Tribolium castaneum: one gene and its partners. The protein of the gene in region 3 purifies or fractionates together with the protein of the main gene of each other region. This does not show direct contact. Links are inferred from orthologs where the notes say so. Each region holds a gene or a part of one and is shown on either strand. Other genes may lie near its edges. The genes, in order: gw, RISC-loading complex subunit tarbp2, AGO1 and Dcr-1.

Region 1 (7,236 bases), on a different chromosome or scaffold from region 3:
TAATATAGGAAAAAAATATCTAAATGTGAGAGAACAAATCAAATACATACAGTACACCTTAAATAATTCAATCTTCTTTTAATTTTTGTTTTTAAATACACGAATAATGAGTTTGGTCGCGTACATATATATTATCTTTTTTCTCATATATATATAATTAACCTTGCTCGGGACTAGTTCGGGTTACGTCTAAAAATGAAATGTCACATTAAGTGCGTTTAGAAACTTGAGCGCCATCAGTGGAAAACAAGAAAACGCCGCCTCACAGTCACAATTGGAATAATGTTACGATTAATTTAAGTAACAAGTGTTGACGTATTTTTTTGCAATTTTTCTCCAAATTTTAATACTTTATTTGCTAATAATTCTCTTTTACAAACAATTCTTGCATCACAAACATACACAATTACTCCACTTCTTCTCAATTAAATAATAAATAAATAATAAAAAATGGCAACTCTCATTTAATTTCAATTTTAAGATAAAACAAAAGGTATTCACGACCGGTCCTTGTGTACATCTGTGAAACTCATTAAATCATAAAGCAATCCTAAAAACAACAACCGTCGTAAAAATTAAAAATTACATTAAATAACAATAAAGGTGGAATAATACAATTCGTGTTTTCCGACATCTTACAAAAATCAATCAAGTTAAAAACGTTTAAAACTTACATCATCAACACCCAATATAATGTGTGAAGTCAGTGTCAGTCGTTTTTTTTTTTTTGTATTTTGTTTACATTGACTCACCGCCGAGGAGGTCGCCGGGAAGAAACGAGTTTAGGCTCGAGGGTGTAGCACGTGCCGGATCAGTCGTATCCAAGGTGGTGCTACCCCATAGACTAGCTGATGATTGACTGTTTGACCAGCCAGTACTCCAGGTGTCGCTCCCTGTACTGGGCTGCTTGGTGGAACCTCTCCACGCTCCCGATGAACTCTGTTGACTTGCAACTTGTTGCAGCAGAGCATTGGCGTCCCATTCTGACGGATTCTCCGCCAAAATCGTCGTATTACCGAGCACGCAATTGTTTAAGGCAGTTTGAGCCTGTAATCGCACCATTACCCCCACAAACCTACCCTTTAATCAACTTACTTTAGTAGCTTCTTCACGTGTCGAGTATTTGGCAAGAGCGAAACCTTGATGCAGGTAAAGGTGGAAACTTTGCAATGGGCCGTGTTGCATACACAGTGTGCGTAGAGTCGACCCGTCAATCTGTTACATTCGATTAAGCGCAAAAAATCACCTAGTTAACGTTACCTGAGCGGTCAAATTGCGCAGGAGAAGCCACGGAGACCCGCCCCAACTTCCAGAGCCCCGTTGGCCGCCGCCCCACGACGCCGCCGACGACCAGCCATTGACCAGGGCTCCACCTTTGGCGGACAGACCTGGTGGCGGGCCGCGACTTTTCGGAGCCGCCCATAATTCGGACGTGACAGCTGTGGTCGGATTCAACTCACCTAGACCACTCTTCGATGACGGCAACTTATTCTGAGGACTAAACGCGACAGTGAAATGAACGAAGCGAGTTAGTTGGTTTGTTCGAACCTAGTGAACGCGCTCGATGTCGACGACGGCGGATTGAAACTCCAAGTCGACGAGCTGAGACTTAAAGGCTGGATTGTGTCGCCGGCCGGGGGGCTCTTGTTATTCGGATTCATTTGGAACAGTTCGGTGTCTTTTATGGTGGCGATTGAGAGTGACGAACGCACTACTGAACCGGGAGTAATACTGGGATCGTCTTCGATCGATTTTATTTGATTACCCTGGAATTTTGCGCGGGATTAGATAATGTGTTAGTTTTGGGCCGGTTTTTGTACCTTCCAGGGCTTTCCAGGTTCAAATTCAGGTACTAAATCAGACAAGGATGGTTGAGTAGGCGTAGGCCACTGTGCGTCTTTACCATCGTTTGATGAATCGCCGCCGCCGGATTCTGGCCAACCACCGTCGCCAGTTCGGCCGCTAGACCAAGGACTTTTGCTCCATTAGTTTAGGTTTAAGCAAAATCAACGATTTTTTTCACTCGAATTTGACTCATAACGTATTGATAATCACGCAACCATCATTAATTGGATCCGTTGTTTATAATCATTGAAATTTTAACTTTACAGGATTTGGTTCATATTTAATGTATTTGTAGCAAGATTTGTTTAATAAAAAAAAAAAAAAACAGACTACTCACCCATCGGGTTGGGTCAACCCTAGTGGATTCATGTTAGGTGAGGTAGCCAAAGGTTTTGACGATGAACCTGGGGCACGACTAAACTCTCCACCTTCTTCTTTATCCTTATTGATCCATTGGTTAAGCCTCGATTGACTCTGATTCTGTAAAAAACCACTCCCGTATCACATACGCAATTTTTTGCTCAACTCACCACTTGATCCTTAATCCCCAAATCGGCGAAATTGCTCTGTAGGGCATTAATCGAGTCATGCATCGGTGCAGCCGTCTTGAACAAATCCGACTGTCCCCCACCGATACTTCCATGGTTTTGTTGTTTGACATAGATGGCTTGTTGTGCAGCAATCTGATTTTGCAAATTCGTAATCTGTTGTTTAGTCTTCGTAATCAACACCGAACACTGCAAGAGTGCACTGTTCGGCTTCCCGTTGATGCATTGCGACTGTGCAACCGACTGTTGTGTCATCAACTGTTGAAGTGTCTTAATCTGTTGCAACAATTGATTCAAGAGAATCAAAGTTTGCGGTGCCAACGGTTGATTGAGAATTTGATGATTAAGATAACCAGCTTGCACGGCCATCTGTATTTGTTGTACGAGCATTCGTAATTGTTGAGTTGAGGGTTGCGATTGGGGTTGAAGATTGCGTCCGGCCGCCGAAACAGCACCAAAACCTTGCGAACCGCCGCCGCCTTGTGTCAACATTTTGTGTACTCCAGCAGGCGAGATGTTATTAATGAGTGAATTATTTGGCCCACCTGAACTGTTCATGTTATTGAGGAGGTTCGGGGCGTTGTTGCCCTGCGGGAACGACATTTGGCCTGGGGGTCCAGACGGGAAACGCTGACCCGGGAACTGCTGATGGTCGTAGTGGTCGTCGTGGCGGTTTCGCCAGCCGTCCGGATTACGCGAACCCAGGATTTCAAGAGCGTCTTCGTAGTTCATGTCGCCGCGGCGAAGCGCCGTCTCGACGTCCTCTTTCTATTAAAAAAAAATCGCAATATAAAACAACAACAATTTTTTAAGCACTGACTTTGTAGCCCATATCCATCAACATTCGGAAACACTTAGAGTTCCAGATCATTTCTTTCGTGAGATTTTGCTTGGGTCCTTTGTTGTGGCCCCAGTCGATTTCGTTGTCGCCCCATAGATGGGTCCCGGCCATTTTCTGTTTGTTCCAACCGCCCACGGATTCGTCCCATCCCGGTCCGGTTTCGTCCCATGAACCATTTCGCCCATGACACCACACTGAACCGTCTGGTTTTATACGGGACTGAGCCATTCCAGGTGGACCAGCGGTGCTACCGCGTCCCATACTTGCCCCTGTGGGCAGATCTTTCCAGTGAGAGCCTATTGTAGGTGAAAAGTTGGATGAGTGCAAGTGTGATTATGATCAGTGTGTGTCTGCGGTGTTAATCTCGTGTGGAAATGTCAAAGAAAAATTAAACAAAATTAAAATCATGATTAGTCTAATTACCCCTCGACGATTCCGCTCTCTAGCACAAGAAATATTTACATTATGTCTTGCCCAAAAAACACGCAAACAATTCTATTTGAATTCAAACGTAAGCTCTAAAATCCCCAATTTTTTTCATTATTACGTGACTCAGTGTTGACGCGTTCTATTTATATTCAAACAACAACCATGTTTATTTCTTTAAGACATTACAATAGCCAAATTTAGAACCTGATGGACCTCGAGGAATTTTAAACCGCTTAAAATAAATTTGATGTCACACAAATCTCATATCAAATATTATGAAACAAAGTTATCTTCCTTTTGTTTCTCATTGCACAAGCAAAAGACAAATTTTCCTCAATTCTCAAACCTTACGTAAACATTTAAAACAAAAATGCATTTGCCACTTGTACCTTATCTAATTATATCAAGTGCATGACTCAATTTTTGCGTGTAATTTCGACAAGAATAACAAACCAATCAAAAATATAAAATAAATAAGTGCAATTCCGCTACGCTACCTTGCTGAGGGTTGCCCCAGAGCGAAGTACCGTCATCATAATTGGGCATATTACGTCTTTGTGTCGGCGGCGATGGTTCTTCCCATCCGGCCCCATTTCCAGGTCCCACCGGCATTTTATTCTGATGATGAATATGTTGTGTCCCTGTATGCGGTCCCGCTTGTCCCCAGAACGCATCAGCGGCTCCAGCACCATTCAGTCTTCCGGTGATTCCTCTCGGATCGCCTCTCATATCACTTCCAGCCAGTCTCATTTGTTCTCTCGGATCTAACAAACGCATCGGATCCGAACTTCCGGCTCGCATATCTCGCAAATCTGGACGCATATCGCGCGGATCAATGCCTCCAGTTGCACGTGGATCGGTGGCAGTGCGCGGATCGCCCCAGCCAGGGTTTCCAGCCGCTGCGCCCCATTCGGACTCTTTTTTCGGACCGCCCCACATACCGCCACTATTGGCAGTATTGCCCCATTGTTGCTGGCCTGAGGGGACACCGGTCCATACGTTTGAACTGTCGGCGTCGTCGTCTTCGCCCCAGGTACCGCCAATGTTGGTCGAGGGGGTGTGACCCCATGGGGTTTTCTGTTGGGGCTGTGGAGGCGGCTGACCGCCGTTACGCAAATTGGCTTCCCATAGTTCGGTGCCGTTGTTGATTGCTGGCTTCCAAGGAGGTGGAGCTGAACCGTCCATCTTCATCGAGGGTTCGGGACTGCCGGGGATGTCCCAGTTCGTGTCTTGATTCACATGTTGCTGTACGAAATGATTAGTTAAATTTATTTCGCAAAAAATTAAAAATACGTACGCCTCCCCAACCGTCTTGGCTGAAGATGGCTTCTCTCATGTTGTTGAGTTGTTCAAGTTGTTGTTTGGTTGAAGTGGTCGTGTTGGGTTGGGCGGTGGGATTGGGTGGTTTAGCTGAAGATGTCGAAGTTGTAGGTTGGGGTCCATTGTTGGTTGTTGGTGGTTTTGCACCTGGTTGACCCCAACTGGAATTGTTTGGTTGTGAGGCGGGTGTTTGTTGTTGTCCATTCGAATTCAGGTTAGAATTGGCCTTGTTGGCTATTTGAATAAAAAATTAATACTTTTTGTATCGGTTTTAATTGATCAAATTTTTACCATCTTGCGTAGGTCCCTGGCTTGAGGTCGGTGGTCGATTAGCGTTATTGTTCCATTGCTGAGTGCCTGTATTGTTTTGATTAGCGGGATTGGCTGTTCCCCAGCCGCTCGAAGTGTTAGCTATATTACGGAATGAATTCGTTTAAAATGAATAAAATGATTTAGGGGTTTGTTACCGTTATTATTACTGGCCTGTTGTGAGGGTGGGGTGCCCCAGCCAGAAGTGCCGGTGCTGAGCGAACTTTCGCCACCGCCTCTTAATCTCAGAGGCGGCGTATGATTATCGCTTGTGCGCTGAACGTGGGGCTCACGGCACATTTCGTCGTCGTCGCAGTGTTCGTCGTTGTTATCGCAGCTAGTGAGGTTCTTCAGTGCATTGAGGTCGAGTACTTCGAGGTCATCAGACTTTTGGTTGGGAATGTCTCGTCCGAGGGGTAAAGCACCAAACTTACATACTAACTTATCGCTATTATTGTGGGCGACCTTGCAGTGGTCTTTACGTTGTATTTTTGGTACGGTAACAGAGTTCAGAAGACAGTTTTCGGTCACAGATTGCATTCTAATATTAGAGTTGCCGTTTAAACGGCAACTTGAGCCGTTTATCACAGATGTGGCGCCTTTAGCGGCGATGGGTTGGCTCGGGGGGTCGGCTCGACCCCCCCAAGCTGCCCGAGCGACTTGTACTGGGGGTGCGCTGCCCCTCATGGCTGACACTTGAGGCACTTGGTAGGTAGGAAATGTAGACTTCGGCTCGGAGGGGGTGGGGGCGCGCATCGTCACTAGTGCTCCATATCAGTCTGGCCAGCCAGAGATCTGCAAAACACCAACACTTCAACTCTTCCACACATTTTGAAAAAATCACGAAAAATAGTTCCGTTTCTGGCCGACAACGCTTACTTTCAACTACGTTTCTAGCTGACAATGTTCGAAAAAAAGCCAAAAATATTGATATTTTTGCACTAATTTAGCCAGTTTTCGACTTGCAACTTGGGCGATTTCTGTGTTTTAATAAAATGTTGGGAGAAATATTGTTTAAAAGAAAAACCAAAAATACCCTTTTCCACCGAATTTGGTGATTCCACTGACAGAATTTTTGATTAAATTTTACCAAAAAATGTGTTAGAAAGAAGGAAAAAAATGTGTTCAAATATAATTAACTTTTTGCTCACTTTTTTGAATTTTTCGGCAAAAGTGCAGGGTCTTGAATTGTGTTTTATACATATTTCCACGATTTTTGCTGTGTACTCTTTCGTTTTTAGAATTATTTTGACAAAACTGTCATTTTGACGTCATTCACAATTTAAATCAAGCGTTCAAATTTCATAGGTGACTTGATGAACAGCCATTTCTGAACAGTACGTACTTTTAACTCCGACAACGCCATTCTTGACCAGTTTAGGCGAATTTTTGGCTGATTTTGGACGAAATTTTGCAATTAATAAAACAAAATCAAAAAATTAAATCCAGGGATCGGTAAAAACACCACCCTTATTTAGAATAAAGACCGCCATCTTATCTTATTCAAATAAACGTCAAACATACCAACCTCCGATAATAAAGTGAAAGAAAATCAAAAAATGAAATAGAAAACGCCACTACCCACTTTAGCGAGCGGTAGAGATGCACGAAATGCGACAACCACCTACATTTCAGTATCTCTGCGGTTTAATTTTAGAAATGAAAGATTATTTTGACGCATTGTGTAAGCAATGCACGAGTAGGCGTCGGATTACTCGAAAATTTCAATTACCAACATTGGGAGAACTAAATTAAAATGTCATTTTGATAAATTGTTGCTGGTCGTAAAAAATCGATAAGAATAGCCAAGTATCCACCAAATTGTAACACAAAGTGAGCGCAAAGTATAAAATACGTGACGTCATTCGAGCGAATTGTTTATCCAATCATTTCAGATAATTGCGGACGATTAAAAAAATGTTACAATAAATGCAAAAACTTACA
Region 2 (7,979 bases), on a different chromosome or scaffold from region 3:
TTAATTAAAACGATAGCAAGACAAAGACTTTGTAGAACAGACACGTTACTAGTCCTATAATGAAGCGTAACCACTGTCAGGTGCAGTTGAAGGGCTTTCTGCCGACTCGAAGCTAATTGGAAAATGAAGTGACATACACGGGGGATATGTGCGAATCTTGGAGAATAACGACGCTTTGACTACTGCCAAATGGCAGAGAAGATACAGGCGTATTATTACAGGCTGTTTCTGTTTTAACAACCGCACGAAGATTAAAAGATAAATCTTTGGTGGTTTAAAACTTAATAATTATCCATGTAAAATCGGATCAATCAGCAGTTGCGTTGCGTTTCGCTTCCAAGGATCCATCGATCATGGTTTATCGAGACTTGTCCCATCTGAAAGCGTAATTTTCGGTGAAAGAAACCCGCAAGGAGCATCGATCCGTTCCGATGTTTGATTAATTCGTAAAAAAATGCCGCAATATTTAGGGTGATCATCTTTGTGTTTTTCTTTTGTGGCGTAAACCTATTCAGGTCACGTTCTGCAGCTTATTCATTTTCTGCGACGATCATTTAGATCGGTTATGAATCGGCAGATACGAAACGAGGTTTGTTCCATTGGACTTTTAAAAAATCCATAGCTATACAAAATTAAGTTCCAACTGGGAAATCTAACGTCGTTACGGTTTGTGATGAAAGACTAAAGCGTTATTGGATTCGGGAATTTCGCAAAATAATTTCGCTACGCAGACAACCAATTACACAGCTCGATGCACTTAACCGTGTATTTATTTCTTGATGAAGAAGCGTCCCAAATGCAAATTTCCTATTGGATGTTATTCTCCGTCGTGGAAAAACGTGTAAAGTTTCTTTTAATTCGGTTGGGTTCCGAAGCTTTCAAGAGCAACAGATTTTCTTCAACAACAATCAGAAGCTTTCGTAAAAGCATTATTTATACATTCAAAAGGCTCTAGTCGAAAACCTCCCGTATTTAAATATTCAGTAGTTTGTTGCAAACAGGTGGACGAAAGTTGTTTTTCGTTCCAATTCGAGAAAATTTCAAACCGAATCGAATTAATTAAATTCCTGTCTTTAATTTCGACGAAACGTCGATCCACTTTCAGTCAGAGTGCAAGCGTTGTAAAATTATCGACAAACATAGTGTTTTTTTAACGGGTTTACCGAGATGCATTATCGCAGATTAAAACTTGTTCATGCATGTTGAGGGAAAATGAATTTAAAAAAAAAATATTTTTTACTGCTTTATGCAAATTCGGTTAGAGAACGCTAGCTGATTAATTGAGCGAACACTGAAAAATTCATTCACGGCCAAGGAAACATCTCTCTGACAATGAATATTTTACAAACAATTAAATAAATTTTCAGCGCGAAAATTGAGCTTCCAACTCCGACGTGGAAGAGCAAATTAAAAAATTTACAAGGCCGGATATAAATCATGTCACGTTGAATGACAGTGACAATGCTGTAACATGGCCACCACCGTCTTTTTTTTTAATTAAACACTTTTTGTAAGCTATTATTTTATTTTCAATTAGCATACACATCAATATCGATATGGCTCAAGTAGAACATAATAAAGGAAAAACAATATTGTCCGAATTGATGTACTTGATCTTAACATTAGCTTCTATTGACATATATGTTAATTCTGGGGAAACAGGGGTACAACCTCTATACTTTGCATTAAATAAATGCTCCCTTTACACAATATAAATATGTACAACATGTTATATGGGGGCACCCAACATTACAACTCAAGTTCTAGTGCCTATATAGTGGAATGCTAAAGCTAGGTACCTAAACATCACTACTCTTAATAATAGACACCTTTTAAAAAATCATTTTCTGCTTGAGTGCATTAACACACACACAAACACAAAAATATAAAAAACGACATACATAGTCTCGAAAAAAACCACTAATTCTATGCAAAGTATAGCTTGTAAAATTAGGTGCGTTCCTTCTCGTTAATAAGTCGCACAGTTTTTATTGTTTCGCATTTGAACAATACACAATAAAAAGTGCCCAACTGACTGTGATGTATGTAATCGTAAAATTGTCGACGCCGCCCAAGATTCATCCATCACGTGTTACCAAAATGGCGCCGATCGAGAAGAAAAGCAAAATGCATGTAGGGAAAGCACATGCATCTTGATACATTTTTGTTTGAAAAAATGACTCGGCTACACTTAAAAACATCTCAACATGGATTAGCCTAAATAAGTATACACAATAAAAACAAATTAAATAAAAAAGTTGCAGATGTTTGAAGTGTAAACGATCATAAGCTCGAAATTCACTTCTTGCTCATTATTCTTAAATATTCGAGTGCATTCAAAGCAGCCGCTGATTGCGCTTCCTTCGGTGTCGCTCCGGCACCGTAACACACCGCTACCGGTAATGTAGAAAGCTGTACTAAGCACTGACTTTTGCCAGATAGTGCTTTCTCCTCTATATCGACATAAGTTACTTCAAATTGTTGCTCGGACGCAATTTCATGCAAAAACTGAATGAAGTTGAAGTCTTTGCTGTTGAGAACTATGTTCTGGAAACGATTTATACAAATGTAAAAACGATACAATTTTCGCATTTTTGCTAAATCAAGTAGTTTACCTGCAACTCCTTTAGCTTCGGCCCATTGGACTGCTTGAGGGCTTTGTGAAACTGTGACACCTTTTGGGTGTGTTGTATGTTGAGTGTCGGTATTTTACTATCTTTCAGACCACTGTAGCGTCCTTGTAAGTTACACATTTTCGCCGCCAACTACAAAATACGTCATTGAATTGAGACAGATTTGCTCGGGATTATTTTTACGAATTTTATTCATTTCAATTTTGTACAGCGCGCTCTGAAAGATCGTAAAAATACCTCAGCAAGATCCAATTTTTTATTAACAATAAGCAAACACAAAAAGCATCCATGTCTGAAGAAGGAAAGCCAAACGAAAAAACTAAACTAAATCAACAGAAACGTCTTACCTCTTCATCGTCGTCGTAACCTTGCGGCAGATTATTGCCCTCTAGAGGCATATCTTGCAGGGCCTGCCACATTTTGTGTGCTGCCATTCTTTTAGCTAATTTTTTTGACTTGCCAGTACCGACTTCTTTGAATTTTAACACTTGACAAGCTATCGTGAACTGGCGTTCGTGTGGAAGACCTTCCTCATGTTCCATCTCATAGGACGGTGGAGGCCATCTCCGAGACATGCACATCTCCTGGAGCCAACCGATAGGGTTCCCCATAACTTTATCATCAAACGGAGACACCACTTGAGCTGTACTGAATACAATATTTCAAATGTTAGACGTTGCGATTTATTGGCCGTACGGATACCTAAAAATTAGGATACGACACGACGTACAAATAAATTCTCCTTTCGTTTTCTTTAACAGCAGTAAATTTAATTTGGCAGTATTTATATAACGCAAAAAAAATGGGAGTTTACGTAAAATACGTAAAGAAATTTTCAAATTTTACGTAAATAAATTTTTTTGCAAATATTTGCTTTGATTTACATAATAACCGTATAAGTATATTAATTATTGCGATTTAAATTTGCGTTTTTTGTTAAAGAATAAATTTTGTCAAATAATGAAACATTAGGAAAAATACAAACTGTATCGACAACAAGAAAGAAATTTTCTTAAATGAGACAAGTTTTCATTTAACAAATCGGCCAATATGTGGAACAAATCAACAGAAAAAGGACAATAACTCTATTAAAAAATTCCAACTTTTTCATTAACGTTTTTTTATAAAGATTTTTGTTAAATAGTAAGTAAGCTAAATCGATCAAAATCAGCCAAAGAAAATGTAAATTTAAAAACATACTCTTGTGATGTTCTTCAATGAGTTCATAAAATTCTCTTACAATATGCGACTTTTCTTTGCAAAGTCATGTGTATGTGTGTGTGTGTGTATGTGTGTGATTTGTAAGTTCATCAAAATATAGCCTTATTTTCGTATCAATTTTAAACTAAACCTCAAGTAGTTCACAGACTAATCTAACTATATTTCATAAACTTCTCGAAAATAGTAAAATGTGCAACAATAAAGGAAAGAATATGTTTTTTAGCTCCATTTTATGTTTGATTGAATCACCAGCAATAGATATCCAAAAAAAAAATTGAAATTCGTTTCGCCTCCTAATATTTAGTTTTCCGTAGTTATATGCTGATTTATTTACATATCGTTGGCTCCGGGAGTCCCGTTAGAAGCGTTGGCTTGTTCTGGACTCTGTTTGCCGACCAAAACATCAAGCAGATTCTTCGCAGCAGCGTGTTTGGCGTCTTTTTTCGACCTCCCTGTTCCAGTAGCAACCAAATCGTTATTAATAAACACCCTGTAGCGGAATATAGGTTCGTGAATAGCCCCCTCGATTTGGACTAGTTCGTACTTAGGCGTCGCCCCACGACGACTTAATAACTCCTGAAGTACTGAAACAGGAGTTTTGGTCGGCAACGACGCCATCTCCTAAAACTCAGTTAGTATCAAAAAAAAATTATAATAATAATTAGAAAAATCGCACCAATTTAGCCTCTTCGCTCAGAGACAAGCGTTCAGCCTGCATTCCGTGTAAAGTATTTCTGTTGTTTTTCCTCCTAGGATGGACGTTGTGTATTTGACTTGAGGAATGCAGAAGCGTCATATTTGGGTCCATGCGAAATTGCTGAAAAGAAAAATCGTTGCAAGGTTTGACAATTGGAAAACTGGCGCGAATAAAAAACCGACCATCACCACGAGAATAAAGGCATAACAAATCCTCGATTTTTTTAAATTTCTTTACCTGTTCAACTGGCGGAGGTACAAACATCTCGCCGCTTGTCGGCCCTTAATTTCCGCTTCCCGTACTGAAGAAAACGAGCAAATTATATTCCATTCGCCCTACACAACTCAAAGATTTTAAATCAACAACACAAAAGAAAAGAGAGAGAAACTGGTAACGGTTTCAACAAAGCGACCCCTTCGCATTCACACCCCTAAAGCAACGGTCAAAATTTTTAACTAAAACTATTAGTTTCGGTACTTAAAATACAAATTTACTCCAAATTTTTTTGTTATTATAATTTTTGTAAAAAGAGCCGGTAAAGAAGGTTCATAAATATTCCACTAACAACCCATAATTCGCAATAGACAACACAACTCTATTGTAGCAAAATTATATGTAAAACAGTAAAATTACTTACAATTATTTAGAATTTTTTATTACACTTTGAAATACAATCGTCGCTATAAACACTGTAATGGCGACGTTTTTTGATGGACACAAACGTCAAATGGTTAAACAGTTCGCATGCGAAGAAGTAACATTCTACAGTAGCGCCACTTAGCGGGAATTCGTTGCTACCAACTTTTGTTCTTTTTAGAAATCCATAAACGACGAAAAATGTGGTTACCAACATGAATTTTGGTCATTTCACTATTTTTTAATATTTGCAAGATAATAATAATAAATTTGATCCAAAAACAATAATTTTTACTTTTTACTGATGTATTTTATTTACAATTACACATCTCTTAACATCCTCTTGTCAAAGTAATCACAAATCGCCCAATTTTCCGCTTGAAAACTATTTAAAAATGTGTAATTTTAAAATTGTCATATTCTTAGCCTATTTACGACCAACTAGACTGTAAAAAAATCACACAAGATCCTCATTTCTGACCAAGATGCGTTTACGAACGCTTGTTTTGGTATTTGTATTTTTGTTAACATTCTCTCCAAGCTCTGAAATTATCTTCGACAGTTTCATTGCTACAAATGGTAAGAAAACTTAATAAAAAAGTTACTGTATACTATTGTGTAATTCTTCTAATTTAAAATTTTAGAAATGGAAGGAGCGCGTAAAAAGAAAAAAGGAGGTGGCAGCAAATACACTGTACCACTTCTTTTCGGAGCTTTAATGATCAAATCTATTATTTTTCCGTTAGCTTTTAAAACTATGGCCGTAATGTCAAGCATTGCAATACTTTTAAGTACTATGAGTTTAATTATGTCATCAATCGTGGGATACATCAGAATGGGACTTAAGTCTGCCCCTGTTAAAGTTGTTCATAAACAACCACCATCGCCCTTCAATAATTGGGCCAAAGATGATGATGGTAAAAATTATTACACACTCGGAGATAATTATAATTATGATTTGGTGGCACCACCACCCAGATAAGTAAAAAATATGTTATGTAACATTTATTTAACCCAAATAAAATGTTTTAATAACAATCACTTTTTCCCTTCTGATTATTAAAATGTACTGCTTCTCTGTTGTATTGTATGGCTATAACTGGTAATTGTTTGGAAGCTACTGATTTCTAGGAAACGTGAAACGTCAGACTTGACGTTTTTAGGTTATTCCTTTTAACCTCGCATTTTTTTGTTAAATATAAAAAAATGACTAAAAACTATTTCTTTATAATAAAAAATGACTAAGTAAACGCGTGACTGAACGTAGTAATTATAAATTAAACTTTATCAGTGTCAAATTTATAAATCGCTGGATTTTATCAAAGAAGTGTCAAGAATATGTAAACAATGGCTACATTTCACGTTTTGCAAGAAGGTCCTGTAAATGCTTTAGCCTTAAATAGAGACAATACTCAAGTGGCAATTGGTGGACGCAATGGTAGCACAAATTAAAAGGAAAAATTGTTCATTCATTACAAAGCACTTATTTTTGTAGTGTTCAAAGTTTACACAATTGAAGAAGACAAATTCCGCGAAGTGTGCAACTTGCGAGCATCCAAACACCTCAATCTGAGCTTTTCTTGCAACGATGTTTCGTGGAGTTGGACTGATGGTAGTACTTGAAGGTGCATACAGTTTGTTCAATAACTGTTCGTTTTCAGACCATTATTTGGCGACCGCCGCCACCAACGGCCATGTCTGTGTTTGGAATCTCACAAAAATGGGCAAAGCAATGCAAGAACAAGATTATCAAGAACACAAACGTACAGTAAACAAAGTGAATTTTCACGCCAGTGAACCAAACAGACTCATATCCGGCTCTCAAGATGGCACGATGCGTTATTTTGATATCCGCGCCAAAAACGCAGTTGCTATTTTTTACAGTAACACAGAGAGTGTCCGCGATGTGCAGTTCAGCCCTCATAATCCATATACTTTTGCGGCCGTTTCGGAAAACGGAAGCGTCCAACTATGGGATGTAAGAAGATCTGATAAATGCCAACAGCAATTTGCTGCACACAGTGGACCCATTTTTGCCTGCGATTGGCATCCGGAGAACACGTGGCTGGCCACAGCCAGTAGAGATAAAACTATCAAAGTTTGTATTCTTTAAAAATGTCTTTGAAAGATGGGGAACTTTGTTTATAAACGGCTAGTTGCATTATGAAATTTCACGGCTTAAAAAAATAGAAATGGGACAAAATACATGGGGTGATATTTGAAAATTGCTGAAACTTTAATTTGAATAATAAACTGTCAGTTTGACTTTAAATTTGATGTATACCCTAGATGTATACTAACTTCAGAAATAATGTCACATTGATACATAATATGTATGTATTTAATCCCAATCAATATAAGAGCCGCGAGGTAAAAATGAAATTCTCTGTCCATTAAAGATGTTTTGATTTAAATATTTATAAAATGCGCGTTTTATTAGGTCTGGGATTTGACAAGTAAACTGACTTTAGAATATACCATTCATACTATAGCTTCAATAGGACATGTCAAATGGCGCCCTCAACGGCGGTTTCATATAGCTTCATGTGCTTTAGTTGTTGACTGTAGTATAAATATTTGGGATGTGAGGAGGCCCTACATTCCTTATGCCTCTTTCAATGAACACAAGGATACTCCAAGTGGAGTGGCTTGGAAAGAAGATCCTCATGTTTTCCTCAGCAGTGGTCGGGTATGACTTTTTCAGTAAATAGTATTTTATATGTTTTAATAGCCATTAAATGCGAACAGCGTACATTACGATCCGCCCAGTTAATATAAAAAAAATACGATTT
Region 3 (7,236 bases):
ATAATTAAAAAAAGTAATTTTTGACTAAAAAATCAAATTCTAAATTTTATACTAAACCAGGCGTATTCACTTCAGATAATTGTTTACGAAGTTAGCGAAGAAAAATACCAATCAGATTTTGAATTAAACGCACTTTTACATTTTAACTTTAAAAAGTATTTTTATTTATGAGTTGCTACTTGTGGCGTCGTAAATTTAGGTGACAATGTGAACTGTAATTGGGGTAAGATTGTAAAAGATTTCGTTGAGATATTTCAATGCAGGCATCAGTTTTATTGCAAGACTGTAAATAAGGGGCTTCAAAAAGGTCGGCTACTGGTAACTGATCCCTTTGTTGGCAAATTATACCATTTTCTAATAAATCACGCGCCTAGTTTGCGTCTAAATAAAAAAAACCGATTATTTTACCAACCAAGTAAAAATTTATAATTCTGATACCAGTGTTCTATAGTTCAAAAAACTAAAAACTAGTTAAATTAACAGTAAGTGCTCAAAAACTCACAAAACTGCTACGACTTTATTTATTAACAAAAAAATTTAATAAAAATCGAGAATGGTCCTTTTAATGTATAGGCTGGTGTGTAAAATTTCAGAATTTTTATTTCATTAGAAGTCGCGATTTTCCTGGGTGCGCGATAAGGTTGCCACCCAGTACAATCAATAACAATCTTTTATCTCTTTAAATTTGAGAATTTTTGGCTTACATTTTATTGTGAATTACATAATATAGGTACTAAACTTTAGAAAAAAACTAGTGGTTTTTATTTATTTAAAAAGTCCATAATCCAAAAAAAATGCGCTCATTTTATAATGTACTTAATAATTTTCTTAGAGCTATAATAAAATGACGTACATTTAGATGTTAAAATCTTTTTTATGTTATACACTTCGTTATCAGTTTTCCTCCTTTTATAGATGTGTAAAAAATAAACAACACTAAAAACAATAAATATGGCTCAGTGAATCCTAAAGGCTGTTTTACATAAGTTCCAAACATGTCATTCTGAAGTGTAATTTTATCGTAATTAACGAAAATTCACAAACATGTTAAAAATATTAGTGAAAGAATTTTCAAAAATTTTGCATTGATTCAAACCCATCTAACATCAAAATCGATTTTCTCATCTTGTTTGGTATTTTTCAATAATTTTTTCTATTATAAAAATAATAATAGTGAAATATTGACTTGAAACCAGTCATTGTATAGATTTTTTTCAGTCATTACTAACATGATACATACCTTAAAGCGTCTTCCCTCACGGTACGCTGTGGAGCAAAACAAGCGATGGCCCAAACTCTGATTTCCACACCCGTAAAGAATTGTTTGCCTCGCATGTCCCACACGCCTTGATTAGGCATCGCTTGCTGTTTGCTCTAAGAGAAAAAACACAAAACAATTAATTCCATATAACAATCGCATTCTTTATGTATTTTTATTCATTATAAAAAATTCTCATCAAACACACGAACAACAAAACAACCACGATGCTATCACACAGTGAACCAATAAATTCAAATCGAAAAAAACACGTGACAACATGCAACGAAAACATCTATCTACAAAAAATAAACACACGAATAAACGAATGATTAAAATAATAATAGTAATACAACTTGAAACTAACGTGCCAGCCCACCTGTCCGCTGAGGGAAGCCACCCGACCACCGTACTGTAGTTTAGGAGGTGGGAGAACCCTACCGCGAACTTCCATCATGTTGTTACTGATTGTCAAGCCGAATTCTTGCACGTAGGGGTCGTTGTTGAAATCAGCCCTCCTTACCAAGTTGTTGATTTCACGTTCTCTGTCCGGTGCTGATCTATATTTAAAAAAAAATATATAAAATAGTACATATAACTTGAAGCCTTAGTGTGTTATTATCTCATCACCTTGCTGTAGCTTTTATCATAGTGGATGTTTGCATATCCGTTAGTTTCTTGATGCATCGTTGGCCAGCTACAATGTTACAGACTTCTAACGGCAAATAGGTGTGTTTGTGTTCCTGGCCAACCTGGAGGCACGGTAAATGGGGGTATCTTAATTTCATTTTGTACTTGTCGAGGAAATACTTTGCTACGGTACACTCTACGGTCTGTCCGTTGTCCAGTTGGAGGGGGAAACTAAAACAAACAAAAAACAAATTATAACACTGTAATACACAATTCTAAATTAAATTATGCATAAAACAAATAACTCACCCCTTTAAAAGAGTGAACACTAAAATTAGTATTAACTAAATGCTGTGGCAATCATTTTACGAGACCTGTGCAAATAAAATGTAACTAACAAGTTTAAAGTAATCGTAGTTTTTACATTTTTTAAACAAATAGAAATACATAGCTATAATTCATATTTCATAGTCATATTTCAAATGAATTATTAACTTTTTTTTAACAGAAAGCTATATTTATAATTTCTGGATTGGTCGATTATTATACAACACAAAAGTTTAGCCGATCTCGAAATATTTCGCTTTTTTTTTAATATTATACTTCAGAAATCAGTAGCTCTACCACTTTTAAATAATATGTATTTTGAAATCGCTTTTGGGCACTATTTTAAATTAATAAGATCACAAATCGTATGCATTTAGACACCAGTTTTTAATTACTATTCTGGTGGAAAATGATTTAAAACAGCAGTATTTTGAAATGACTTAATTTTGAGATGATTCCTTGGTCCAAATCGGTAAAAGTCGCCGCAGAAGAGCTGCAAAAGTTTGTTTTCGACCACAATATAAAATTGTAGCTAATCTTCTAAAAGTTTTGTCGCTTTGAGAAATAAATTTTACGAAATCAAATATTTTCAACAAAAAAACTAGCGTCTGAAGCGTCGTTTTTGGGCAGAATAAAGCAATTCCAACTTTTTCTACAGCGATTTTTGAAGTAAAAATTGCTCCAGGTCAAAATATTTCAACAAAACTGGTGATTAAAATAAATAAGCCTTTTCCAGTCAGAATAAAGCGATTGTAGATTATCTATATAGCAAGTTTTGTTCTTTAATTAAACCAAAGAATAAAGTAATATTTTTAAGCCAGAAATCCCCGAAAAAATAATAAAACTGATAAATTAATCGTAGCTTTCGGTCAGCTTAAATCGTTTTTAGGTTTTTGTAGAAGTGGGTAAGTAGGTATAAATACATGTAAGAATAAGTTTATTTACTTTTTGTTATTTTTATTTTTACTGTATCTCAAAAACTACTAATCACACAAAAACCAGCGTCTGCTATAAAATGATTTTCTAAACATGTGATCTTTTCAGACTATTTCTAAAATATTTTATAACAAAAATTAATATCCAAATTATTTATTCCTAATGACCTCTGTGTTTTGTGCAAAAATTACGTAAAAATTGTTACCAGCCTCAAAAAAAAACAATTAAATTTTACGTCTAAAATAAGATTGATAGGTTACCCCCTAGATGGAGTTTACAATTTTTGATAGCAATAAAAAATTCTACTCAAAAAAATTACTCTGGGTGTAAATTTTTAACAATATCTAACAAAACAGTTTACAGAGATAATAACTATTAAAAAATGACTGCCATGTCACCTTTAAAGGTTTCTAGTTTCTTTAGAAATCATTTTCGGACACGCGTCCATAGAATTTTTTTTGTATTTAGCTCGAAAGAATCACTTTTCAAATATTGTACAAAAGAATAAGCTTTCAAATTCTATTAGTACCAACGAACTGATTTGTGCAACAAAGTTATGAAACAATTTAAATAAGAGGGCCCTCGCAGCCCCTTTAACAATGCTTTACAACCTTACAATTTGCACTGTTAAATGACTAATTATTTAAAACAACGAATGTATGCCAAGTATTAAAGAAAAAAATATATATTCTGTATTTTTGGAGCAACTTTGGAGGTTAATAATAACACCATAAGAAAAACCTTTAAAAAAATAAAAAATGTGGGTCAATTCAATTTTAATACTCAATCTATGGTTAAAGTATTTACACTATCTCGCGAGACATGCTGTATATCATCTACCAATTAATTTGATTACTTGTTGAATAATAATTGGGTTTAATTTTTATTTATAGCTTAATATTTTTAAGTAATAATAATTTTCCTCTAATACTACTCTGTTTTCTATAGGATTGAACTTTATTAAGTTGAGTTATTAGTTACTCGTCTAAAAAATTGAAAAAAAAAATTCGCTTGCACAGCTTTTTTCAATTACAAGTAAAAATGAAAAATCCTACTCTAAATTACATACGTGTTTCATTCATTCAATTAAAATGATTAACACAGCCAAAGAATACAAAAAAGTAAGTAGAATTTTGTAGATTTCAACTAACATTTTCATACCAATACAAAATTTTTTGATAATTTTCTTTAGTTCTTTACGTTTTCATACTAATAACACAGCAACTGTGAGATAAAAAATTAATTTAAATTTAATTAGAATGCAACAAATTAATAAAATTAATCATCAACTTACGATTGCATCTGAGCCGGTCTTCGTGTCACATTGCACACCCTATACTTCCGCCTCATGGTCCCACAATGTGTTATTTCGATTTTCAAACCTTTGATTTCTTTCGTAAATTTGACACGTTGACTATCAGTTAGCGGTTTTCTCTGTTCGTTGATATCTCGAATATCCAAAACTTCGCACATAAATTCGATAACCGGCTGTGCTTTGTAAAAAGCAGTTGCAGAAACTGTAAATAAACATTTAAAAAAAAAACACAACCAACACACCAAAACATACCATCAATATTCAACATCATTTTCCATTGGCTAGGCCTGACCGACTGGTGAAACCCAAACCAAACCTCTCGCCCACCACCCAACGGATGATAATACCCTTCCGGACTGCTGAAGAAGCTTCGACCAACTGGCGTGTAACTCATCGACGGTAAGTGTCTCATTACGACATCAAGCGCCAGAATTGCCTCATACGGTATTTGTCGTGTTCTCCCTTCTAGCGCTTCCTCGAGTCCGTAAAGCGACACTTGCGCCACCCATTTTATTGTCACCCTAAACAACCTATCCTTGCCTTCGCCAGGCAACGTCACTTCCAACTCCTCGCGTGAATTACCAATCGGTAGAGGATCACGCGTGTAGAGATTGTTTCTACCGTCGAAGACCGGCTTCAAGTTGCCGAAAATTTTACCATAGGCGTGTACCATAGTCTCGATAATTTCCCGATTGACCTGGAGACAAAAACTTAAGGAAAAAAACATTTGATTTAGACGAAATGTGAACCTTTCTGGGGCATTTATCGGGCTGTATGCTCACGTCGTAGTGATGGACGAAGCCACGCGGCATCGTCACTTGGAAATGGTTGGCTTTCAAGCCAATGGGACGGCCTTCGCGGCCGAGATTTGGCCGACGGGGACATTGGAAGACCGGCGGATCTGTCGTGGGTGGCACGGTGGCGAGGGCCGTGCTCGTCGCCCCCACGACGGCCACGGCGGTGCTAGCGGTTCCAGGGGCGGTTGCTGGAACAACAAACCCATCTTTAAGACCAACACGTGGGGCTGAAATCTTAACCGGAGTGTCGAGCTCGTCGAACACCTTCAACACGCTCTGGATGATGTCGGGAAGAGGTAAACTCATGGTTGGAAACGTCACGATTATTAAACAATACAAATAATAACACACGAACGATCACACACATGAAAGTGATACGAAATCGAAAAAGGCTTCTTTATATAGCCAGTAAGGTAAAGAAATGGCAACAAAAACTTAAGAGATAAGTAAAAACACTTCGTTTTATCATTTTGTCTCTCGAATAAACGATTAACGACGCATTGGCCTTTCATAGCAAAAATTTGTAAAAGAGAGTTAAATAACACAATACTTACCGTCAAAATTAAATGGTTCAATCTTGACTAGTATTTTTATTTGACAATTCTTTTAGGGAACGCATTGGTATTAGCATTATCCATAAAACAGGCTTCCGGATATTAGTAAAAAATGTTACAATGACTTTAATGAAAAAAGAAAAGAAAACTTTCTAAAAAAACACTCTTTTGCATATGAAGCCCATAAAATTTTGAATTTGTTTCATTGTTTGAAAGGTAACGTTGAAACAGAATAAACAAGAATACGATTTGTGTTTTAGCATAACTGTAAAATTTCATGAAAACAAACCGAAAAGTTATTAAACTTGCATTTTTGGCGTGTTAAGCACGTTTTTGAAGTAAAAACAGAATCGAGAACCATTTATTTATTTATTTATTTTTATTTAAAACAGACCGAAAAATCACAAAAATTTCATGAAAAATACGCAACAAAAAACAAAAAACTTGGTGAAAAAAGGTACTTTTAGATGAAATCCTCAATTTTTGGGTGAGATTTTGATAAAACAAACTGAAAAATCGCCCAATCTAAGGCACCAAGTGCAAATGTTTTTGTCTTTTTCAAGTGTTTTTGGTTGTTTTATGGCCAGGCGACAGACAACTATTATTTTGCAAAATTTAGATAAACAAAACAAAATGAAAAGATTTATAAAGCGAACATTTTGTTGTTCCTTTTAACTATTTTAATGTTTAAAAAAGTTTTTATCAAAAAAAAGTTAAAAATGTTGGACACATCATGATATTAGTTGGTTTTTGATAGAAATTCTTAAAAAAAAATAAGGCAAAAAAACAAAAATTTGGTAAAGAATTGTGATATCTTAACGTCTTTTTAAAACCGTATTTTCATTTACTTTCTTAATAAACATTTACATTGGTTTTGTGTATCGTTTTAAAATACCAAATGTGTTGTAAATAAAGCAAAAATTAATAAACTACCTACTTCAAAAATAGTTGTTTAATTTTACAACAGACCGAAAAATCACGAAAATTTCGTCAGAAATAAGCAACAAAACAAAAAACTAGGTGAAAAAAGTGCTCTTAGACGAAATTCTCAATTTTTGGGTGAGATTTTGATAAAACAAACTGAAAAATCGCCCAATCTAAGGCACCAAGTGCAAATGTTTTTCCCTTTTTCGAGTGTTTTTGGTTGTTTTATGGCCAGACGACAGACAACTATTATTTTGTAAAATTTAGATAAACAAAACAAAATGAAAAGATTTATAAAGCGAACATTTTGTTGATCCTTTTGACTTTTTTAATGTTTAAAAAAGTTTTTATCGAAAAAAAAAAGTTAAAATTGTCGGAAAAATCACGAAATTTGTTGATTTTTGATCGAAATTTCTTCAAAAAAAATAAGCCAAAAAAACCTAAAAATTTGGTAGAAAATTGTGACATCTTAACGTCTTTTTAAAACCGTATTTT
Region 4 (7,757 bases), on a different chromosome or scaffold from region 3:
TTGTGTTTTACGTTTTTGTATTTTCTTGTGTATGTTCTGTAGTTTCTAAGTTTGAAGCGCTTTTGCTTTTGTTTGCCAGCATTCAAAATTTTGATTCAACGACACATCGCGTCTAACAGTCATAGATGACCTTTATAATAATTTGTTTTGCTATTCTACTAGATCTTAAGCCTATTTAATTAAGACAAACAATATTTTAGTCTGCGAGGGTAGAGTTTAAAAACCTACATTTCTTTAACATTTTAAATAGCTCTCTCTACTTTTTGAAACATTTTTGGATGGGAGGCAATAAAGTTAAGCGTGGAGAAAACTAATATTTGTTGACTTTTTTTAGTTAGGGGTAGCTTCAAAAAGCAGGGGGTTTCATTTAAAATTTCTAATTAAGGATGGTTAATTTCTAGGGGATGATGTATGTTAAGAATTCTACTCTATCTTTAGCACAAGAGGGTAGAGGGTGGTTTGGGCCGACAAAGGCCCAGAATTGGGAGCAGTAGTATTAGTAAGTTAGTAGTAAGGGAACCCTGTTGACGGAAGACAAAATAATTTGTTATTGTTAGAATGTTAGAAAATATTGTTATTGTTAGAAGGTGGTGTTTTAATGCGAATAAACATACAGTTTTTTAAATGTGGACTGTATGTTTATTGCATTAAAACACCATCTTCCAACAATAACAACTTTATTTTGTCTTCTGTCAACAGGGTTCTCTTACTGCTAACCTACTAATACTATTCGCCCAACTCTGGGCCCTTGTCGCGCCAAATCACCCCCTACCCTCTTACGCTAAAAGTGGGGTAGAATTCTTGTTTAAATTAAACTGGCTTAAAATTAAAGACCACTACGTACTATGACTAAAAATTTTTAAAATAAAGTTACCTCTAACTCAAAAACTATATTAGATATTTTGAGTTAATAAATATCGAAATCTTTTAATATGAACAAGATAGTACACGTATTTCAACAAAACTGACTTCAGGGAAAAAACGACTGATTTCAGAATAGGGGTTGATAGGCAAACATTTTCTGTCGCAATAACCCCCTAAAGTGTGACAACATATTTTTGTAATAACCTTGTACAGTATATTAAAATTCGCATACAAACATGCATATAAATATAAATACGTATGAAATTTAAAAGTGCATTCTCGCTGACGTTTTGGCGCGCCGTTTGCTGATTGGCTAAAAGTAACATAGTTTTGACGCCTCATAAAAAAACTAAATTGGTTGTTGATTTCCAGAGCCGGCTTTAATCGCAAAATCGAACGTGATCCTCGACGTGAAGCCCTGGGATGACGAAACCGACATGAAAGAGCTCGAAAACCAAGTCAGGAAGATTTCATCGGACGGCCTCCTCTGGGGGGCCGCCAAACTGGTCCCTTTGGCTTACGGCATCCACAAATTGCAAATCTCGTGTGTTGTTGAAGACGAGAAAATTTCAATTGACTGGCTACAGGACGAAATCACAGCAATTGAAGACTACGTCCAGAGTGTGGATATTGCGGCCTTCAACAAGATCTAAGCGACCCTTTGTACTTTTTTATTTAAATAAATAAAGTGGCCCCGGTTTCATTTCCAAATAAATATAGTTAATTTTTATCTGTGTTTTATTAACCATTTCGTTTTTTTTTTATTTTTCCACATATTAGTATCGACTTTGCAGTCAATTGTGATTTGGCACAAGCATGGCTCTTCTTAGGAAACTAGTGCCTTACTCTATGAGAACTCATAGCAATAAAAAACTGTCAAATAAAAAAAAAATCATTTCTAATAGCAATTAAAATGTGTTGAATAAAGTTGTGTATAAACATTAATAAATTGTGAACGGTGTCTTTAAATGCCAGATTCATTGCTGACGACTAAACATATTTCGACTATTCTACACATTAACGGATCAAGAAAAAAAAATGTACATAGTTTCCCCATCTAAGAATTCTACTTTGAAGACACAGAATTAAAGCAAAGTCAAGCCGCAGAAAAAACACTTTTATTTTTTGAAATTCGAGAACTTCAAAATACGAGTGTGCTAAAAAGCTTATTTAAGCAGTTAGGCACGCTTTCTATCTACCAAAAAAAGTGTTTATCACTCATTACCACATAATAAAATATAAGTACAACAACTTTTCTATAAAAGCATTTTGCAAAAGTATTCATTATTTTTACTATTTCCCTCCTTTCCTGTAATAATTGATTCGCCTTTTGGGGGCCATTCTGAACACTGTAATGAATTTTTAAAGATAAAGTTTGCGAAATCGGGAAATTTTAAAGAATCTTTAAAAATTCATTAAAGTTCCAAGGGGTACTTTATGATTTTTTTACAGTCGAAGGCCCTATCGAAGAGCTTAATTTCCTGCAAAAATAAAGAAAATTGCAGGATATAAAGTGGGTGAAGAAAATAAAGTTTGCAAAATAGAGGAACTTTATAAAAATTAAAAAAAATTGTTAAGGTCCCAAGGGTGTTTGTCCGAACATGATTTTTTTACAGTCTCCTGCAAAATAATCTCCTGTAAAAATAAGGAAAATTACATAATATAAAGTAGATGAAAAAAAAAGTTTGCGACATCGGAAAATCTTTAAGAATCTTTAAAAATCCATTTTTACAGTCGAAGGCCCTATCGAAGGACTCTTCTTTTACAAAGATAAAGAAAATTGCAGAATATAAAGGGGGTGAAAAAAAATCAGTTTGCATTGCTTGAATATGAGAATAAAAAATGCAGAAATTAAATACAGTTAAGTTTTAATTTGTAATAGAAACACATTATAATGGTCAGGAGATTTTCTACAAATGTGATATGCAAGTCAGCGTAACAGCTTATTGATGTTTTTATAATGATTTACGATTATTTTGATAAATTTTCTGGTGTGAATTGGCTGCAGAAAACGAGAATGGTGGGGAAATAAATTGTCTGGTCGACTGTAATATTGATGGTGCCAGCACCATTTTTGAACCATGCTCTTCACCGACATTCAATTTTTTTGGAGTGATTGTCAAAACGCTGTCAACTGTCAAAACCCGCTCGGTCTGTGTGGTGTTGTTTGAATCTAAACTGGTATTTTTGTGATAATTTGTATATTCCAAGTGAGAAAAGATGTATCCCGTTGGTGGTGAGACGTCTCTAAGTTAGTTCAATCATAATCAGCAATAATAGCAACGAAAAATGCTTAGATAAGTCCTCCGTTGTGTACAGCACCCCTACATGGCTTGTTATTTAAACGAAAATGTTTACACGCACACGTTTACCCCACGAGAGTATCAAGTGGAGCTGCTGGACAGCGCTAAGAAGCGTAATACAATCGTATGTTCGAGTGCGAGTTCGGCGAAAGCGTTTATAACAATAAAACTGCTGCAAGAGTTCTCCCACAAGATGCGGGTGCCCCACGGAAAGCAGGCTTTATTCGTGCTGGACGGCCCGAACGTCCCGATAATGACGTCGCACGTGAAGCTGCTGACCGATCTGACCGTTACGAGCATAGATAAAGAGGAAAACCCCCCGTCGTTGAAGGCAAGCAATGTGATTGTGACCACAGCCGAAGTCTGTGTGCTTCTATGTAAGAAGAACTTCGTTCATTTGGACAGTTACGCTCTAATCGTGATAGACTGCTTATACGGGGGGCAACAGTCGTTAGTTAGGGAAATTATGGCCCGGTATCAGGCGATTCAAGCGCCCAGACCTCGAATTTTGGGCCTGACTGCCGGTCTTTTGGGCTCCGAGATGCAACCCGATCGTCTAGAAGCCGAATTACAACGCTTAGAAAAATTACTTAGTTCCTCGGTAGACACTTCTAGTGAAATTCTCACGCTGATACGCTTATCTTGTCGGCCGCGCGAACGCATAGTCGAGTGCTTTAAACCCATTCCAAGCCCTTTGCAGGACAAAATCAAGGCCACTATAACCTCCTGTCAGGATTTCCTCAAGGACCACCGCTACGATCCGAGCGAAATCTACGACGATGACTTGCTCGAGGAATTCAAGCAAGTCCCAGACCCCAAGGAACAGCCTTTGAGCTTCTTCGACGACTTCCTCGAAATTCTGGACGATTTGGGGCCCTGGTCGGCCGACAGAGCCGCCTATGGCATGCTTATCAAGATCGAGAAGCTCAAAGTCAAAGTTCCTTACGAAAGACATTATTTATTGTTATGCGTTGCTTCATCAGTATTAGTTTCGATAAGGGCTCTCTGCGAACTCGAATTCCAAGACTACACAGATAAGGAAAAGGTGTTTCGTTTCTCAACGCCGAAAGTACTCAGATTTCTCCAAGTTCTAAAGCAGTTTAAACCGACCGGTGATAAGCCGGAAACTTGCGACAAACTACCAGACCTCAAAGACCCCAAGAAGGGAAAAGGGAAAAACTACAAAGGGCCCCGAAGGCCGTACATCTCGCGCGCGCAAAGCGACGAGATGCTCTGCGCACTCGTTTTCGTCAAAAATCGCTACAAGGCGGAGGCCCTCTTCGCCCTACTGTGTGTAAGTAAAGCAGACGTGTTCCTGTAAGGCTAAGGGGTTGCCCTAAAGTGCCATCGTGTTTTAATGCTGCCTGTCGCAAGGTTTTGCCACAGAACTAACACTAAAATCATAAATTGAAGAAGTACGTTTATTTTGTAACTTATGATCTGTTTAAAAACTACTTTAAAGCCCTTGATGTTTAACACAAAATTAAAACAGGAAAAATATCTGACAACTAATTGTTTGGACTAAAAAAAGGAAAAACTTTCTAGTAGTTCGTGATTTATTTTTTTTGGGGGTTTAATGAGGTCACGACTTCCCACTGGCATACTTTTAATGATCTGTCACAGAATTTTAGCGTTTTTTGTTGCAAATGTGTTCTATTTTATTTTTTAAATCTTTCACCACTGTGGAAGATTTTTAAGATAATTTTTCATTTTGTGCCAAAAAGACACAAGACATATTTAAATCAGGCCTGTTTGCTGACCAAGACATAACATTAATGTGAGAATTACCGAATCATTAGGTATTTCAAATGTTTTGCTGTGTGACAAGAAGCATAATTTTTTTGTATAATTTTTCAGTCGGTGGTAATAAATGTTTTTGCAAAATATATTTGATGGTGTTCATGAACTCAAACCCACACCGTTTACAAACATGTATCATACCATTAGCAAATTTAAGCGTACTTTTGAGACAGTCTTTGTGAAAGATCTCTTGGTTATTTATTACTCGTTTTTGAGAATTGAGAATTTCAGCAGTGAGTAATGTTTTTTTTTCTTGTTAATGATAGTCAATTTTGGTGTTAAATTTCTTAGCGTTTATATATTTAGTTGCCAAGCTCAAGTGGATATATTTACAAAAAACACTAGAGTATTTAGAGAACTGCATAAGTTTGAAGTGATTTTATTTTTCCTTTAAACGTGAAGCATTTACTTCTCTCACTTTTGCTAAGAAATTCTTTTCTTTTGAAAAGAAGAAGCAACGCAAGTCTAGTTTATCTTTAATAGTCTAATGCTATTTTTGTTTATATTTATCTGCTTGACTTCATGGTTTGAACTCGAGCTTCTATTCTTTGGGCAAAATCTTGCGATACTAAGCTGGTCCCCTCAGCCTTAGAAATTGATGGTTTGCCCGCTGATTGTTTGCATTGTGTCAGGTGATGTCAAAGAGCGACGAGGAGTATTGGTGGGTGTCGGTTTCGTTCTCCGTGAATAAGATCGCAGATCCGGTGCGCGAGCCTCGGGAGGCGGAATCCGAGCATAAAAGGCAGGAGGAAGTTTTGCGGAAGTACAGAAGTCACGAATGCAATATAATGATAGCAACGTCGGCGTTAGAACAAGGCTGTGATCTTCCTAAATGTAATTTAGTGATACGTTTCGATTTACCTCAGTCGTTCCATAGCTACATTCATAGTAAAGCGCGAGCGCGCGCAAACGAAGCTCATTTTCTTTTGCTAGCGAACGAGAACGAAGTTAGCGATTTTGTTGAGAATTTAGCCGAGTACAACGAAGTTGAGAATACGCTATTGAAGAGGTGTTACAGTTTGGAACCTGATAAGAATGAGGAGCTGGTTGCTGATGCTTCGTCTCTGCAATGTAGACCGTATCAGCCGTCGGCCGAACCGGGGGCTAACTCAGTTAGTCTCTCGAATGCTATAGCTTTAGTCAACCGGTATTGTGCAAAATTGCCCAGCGATACGTTCACCCGCTTGACGCCAATTTGGCATGAGGAGAAGGTCGAGAATGGTTATATTTGTTCCATTCGGTTACCTATCAATTCTCCGGTGAAGAAAACGGTGACAAGCCCTCCAATGATTAATACTTTACTGGCACGCAGAGCTGCAGCTTTTATGATTTGCCAACTCCTACACAAAGCGGGGGAATTAGACGATAATCTGCAACCAATAGGCAAAGAGAATTTCAAAGTGAACGAAGAAGACTGGAATAGCTCGGCGCTTGAAGAATCAGATGAAGAAAATCTAGACCCGAGACCGGGAACTACGAAACGGCGGCAGTATTACTATAAAAAAGTTGCCGATGCTCTACTTGACTGTCACCCAATTATTGGCCAACCGACTTACTTTTACAAAATCGTAATGAAACTGACCTGCCCTTTGCCCGAAGAACAAAACACCAGGGGGCGGAAAATATACCCTCCGGAGGACTCTCCTCAAGGGTTTGGAATACTGACCTCCAAAGAAATACCAAAGGTGCGACTCGTCTCTTGATTAAGTTTGGTCTAATTTCTAAATTTCAGATAAGTGCCTTTCCAATTTTCACAAGATCGGGTGAAGTAAGTGTTGATTTACAATTGTGTTCACAGTTAATTGTAACGGAGAATCAAATTTGCAAAATTAGGGAATTTTTAAATTACACGTTTACTAGTGTTTTACGTTTACAAAAGTACCTAACCCTTTTCAATCCTGACGCTTCGGCCAATTCGTACTTAATCGTGCCAACGATAGATGGTGCCACCACCACCGTCGACTGGGACTTCATCGACTTAATCTACGCCAACTTGACGGTACTCCCCGAGATAATTCCGGAAGAAGTCCGAAAAAGCTACGAGTTCGATCCCGAAAAGTACCGAGACGCGGTTGTCATGCCCTGGTACCGCAACCAAGATCAACCCCAGTATTTCTACGTCGCGGAAATTTGCTCCAACTTAAACCCGGCCTCGGACTTTCCAGGCTCCGACTACGCCACTTTCGAGGAGTACTACTTGAGGAAATACAGCATACAGATACAGAATAAAAGCCAACACTTGCTGGACGTTGACCATACGTCGGCCAGGTTGAATTTCCTAACCCCGAGGTATGTCAACAGGAAGGGAGTGGCTTTACCGACCAGTAGCGAGGCCACGAAACGAGCAAAACGCGAGAAACTGGAACAGAAGCAAATTCTCGTCCCCGAATTGTGCGCCATCCACCCGTTTTCTGCCTCTTTGTGGCGAAAAGCCGTATGTTTACCCTGCATCTTGTACAGGATCAACGCACTGCTATTGGCTGATCAAATCAGGCGAACAGTTGCGTTGGAGCTGAATTTGGGCAAGATCGAGCTGGATTCAGGTAACTGATTACTGTTTTGTTCCAGGTGCGTGATCTATTATTTTAGAGTTCAAATGGCCACCGTTAAACTTCGGATGGTCCTTGGCCGACGTCTTGAAGAAGTCCAAAGACGAGGAGAAGAAGAAACAGGAGAAAATCGAACCAGTCATTGAAGAAATCCCATGTACTGAGATAGCAAAGATCGAGGATTTTGACCAAGATGACGACGAGGAAGAAATGATTGAGATTGGGACTTGGTCGAATGACA

Evidence for each region.
Region 1: the proteins of AGO1 (region 3) and gw purify together in Drosophila melanogaster (affinity purification with western blotting; 17 studies listed by BioGRID, with this or other methods). This does not show direct contact. The link is inferred for Tribolium castaneum from reciprocal best matches to the Drosophila melanogaster genes AGO1 and gw.
Region 2: the proteins of AGO1 (region 3) and RISC-loading complex subunit tarbp2 purify together in Drosophila melanogaster (affinity purification with western blotting; 4 studies listed by BioGRID, with this or other methods). This does not show direct contact. The link is inferred for Tribolium castaneum from reciprocal best matches to the Drosophila melanogaster genes AGO1 and loqs.
Region 4: the proteins of AGO1 (region 3) and Dcr-1 purify together in Drosophila melanogaster (affinity purification with western blotting; 5 studies listed by BioGRID, with this or other methods). This does not show direct contact. The link is inferred for Tribolium castaneum from reciprocal best matches to the Drosophila melanogaster genes AGO1 and Dcr-1.

The regions. Positions count from the first base shown.
Region 1 is NC_087399.1:1,984,267-1,991,502, forward strand, and holds part of gw (protein Gawky), read right to left. Parts: exon of another isoform or gene 7,188-7,236; intron 7,137-7,187; exon of another isoform or gene 7,000-7,136; intron 6,928-6,999; exon of another isoform or gene 6,821-6,927; intron 6,088-6,820; 5' UTR 6,049-6,087; coding exon 5,451-6,048; intron 5,395-5,450; coding exon 5,275-5,394; intron 5,218-5,274; coding exon 4,961-5,217; intron 4,909-4,960; coding exon 4,161-4,908; intron 3,531-4,160; coding exon 3,214-3,530; intron 3,162-3,213; coding exon 2,376-3,161; intron 2,326-2,375; coding exon 2,183-2,325; intron 1,975-2,182; coding exon 1,821-1,974; intron 1,767-1,820; coding exon 1,549-1,766; intron 1,499-1,548; coding exon 1,261-1,498; intron 1,216-1,260; coding exon 1,096-1,215; intron 1,048-1,095; coding exon 739-1,047; 3' UTR 1-738. UniProt on the Drosophila melanogaster protein: Required for gene silencing mediated by micro-RNAs (miRNAs). Silences both polyadenylated and deadenylated mRNAs. Required for miRNA-mediated translational repression and mRNA decay. Not required for miRNA target recognition.
Region 2 is NC_087395.1:26,692,141-26,700,119, reverse strand, and holds RISC-loading complex subunit tarbp2, read right to left. Parts: upstream 5,334-7,979; 5' UTR 5,189-5,333; intron 4,895-5,188; exon of another isoform or gene 4,887-4,894; 5' UTR 4,816-4,886; coding exon 4,789-4,815; intron 4,672-4,788; coding exon 4,531-4,671; intron 4,476-4,530; coding exon 4,189-4,475; intron 3,282-4,188; coding exon 2,981-3,281; intron 2,766-2,980; coding exon 2,616-2,765; intron 2,548-2,615; coding exon 2,299-2,547; 3' UTR 1,506-2,298; downstream 1-1,505. Other genes in the region: GATOR2 complex protein WDR24, read left to right, coding at 6,535-6,625, 6,683-6,799, 6,849-7,285, 7,628-7,876.
Region 3 is NC_087394.1:4,849,358-4,856,593, forward strand, and holds part of AGO1 (protein argonaute-2), read right to left. Parts: intron 5,452-7,236; coding exon 5,216-5,451; intron 5,164-5,215; coding exon 4,719-5,163; intron 4,669-4,718; coding exon 4,446-4,668; intron 2,120-4,445; coding exon 1,889-2,119; intron 1,819-1,888; coding exon 1,626-1,818; intron 1,375-1,625; coding exon 1,241-1,374; intron 1-1,240.
Region 4 is NC_087403.1:8,545,468-8,553,224, reverse strand, and holds the start of Dcr-1 (endoribonuclease Dcr-1), read left to right. Parts: upstream 1-2,976; 5' UTR 2,977-3,100; intron 3,101-3,161; 5' UTR 3,162-3,192; coding exon 3,193-4,461; intron 4,462-5,599; coding exon 5,600-6,652; intron 6,653-6,699; coding exon 6,700-7,510; intron 7,511-7,556; coding exon 7,557-7,757. Other genes in the region: probable elongation factor 1-delta, read left to right, coding at 1,237-1,517. UniProt on the Drosophila melanogaster protein: Endoribonuclease which functions in microRNA- (miRNA) gene silencing and, independently of its ribonuclease III activity, also acts in the short interfering RNA- (siRNA) gene silencing pathway.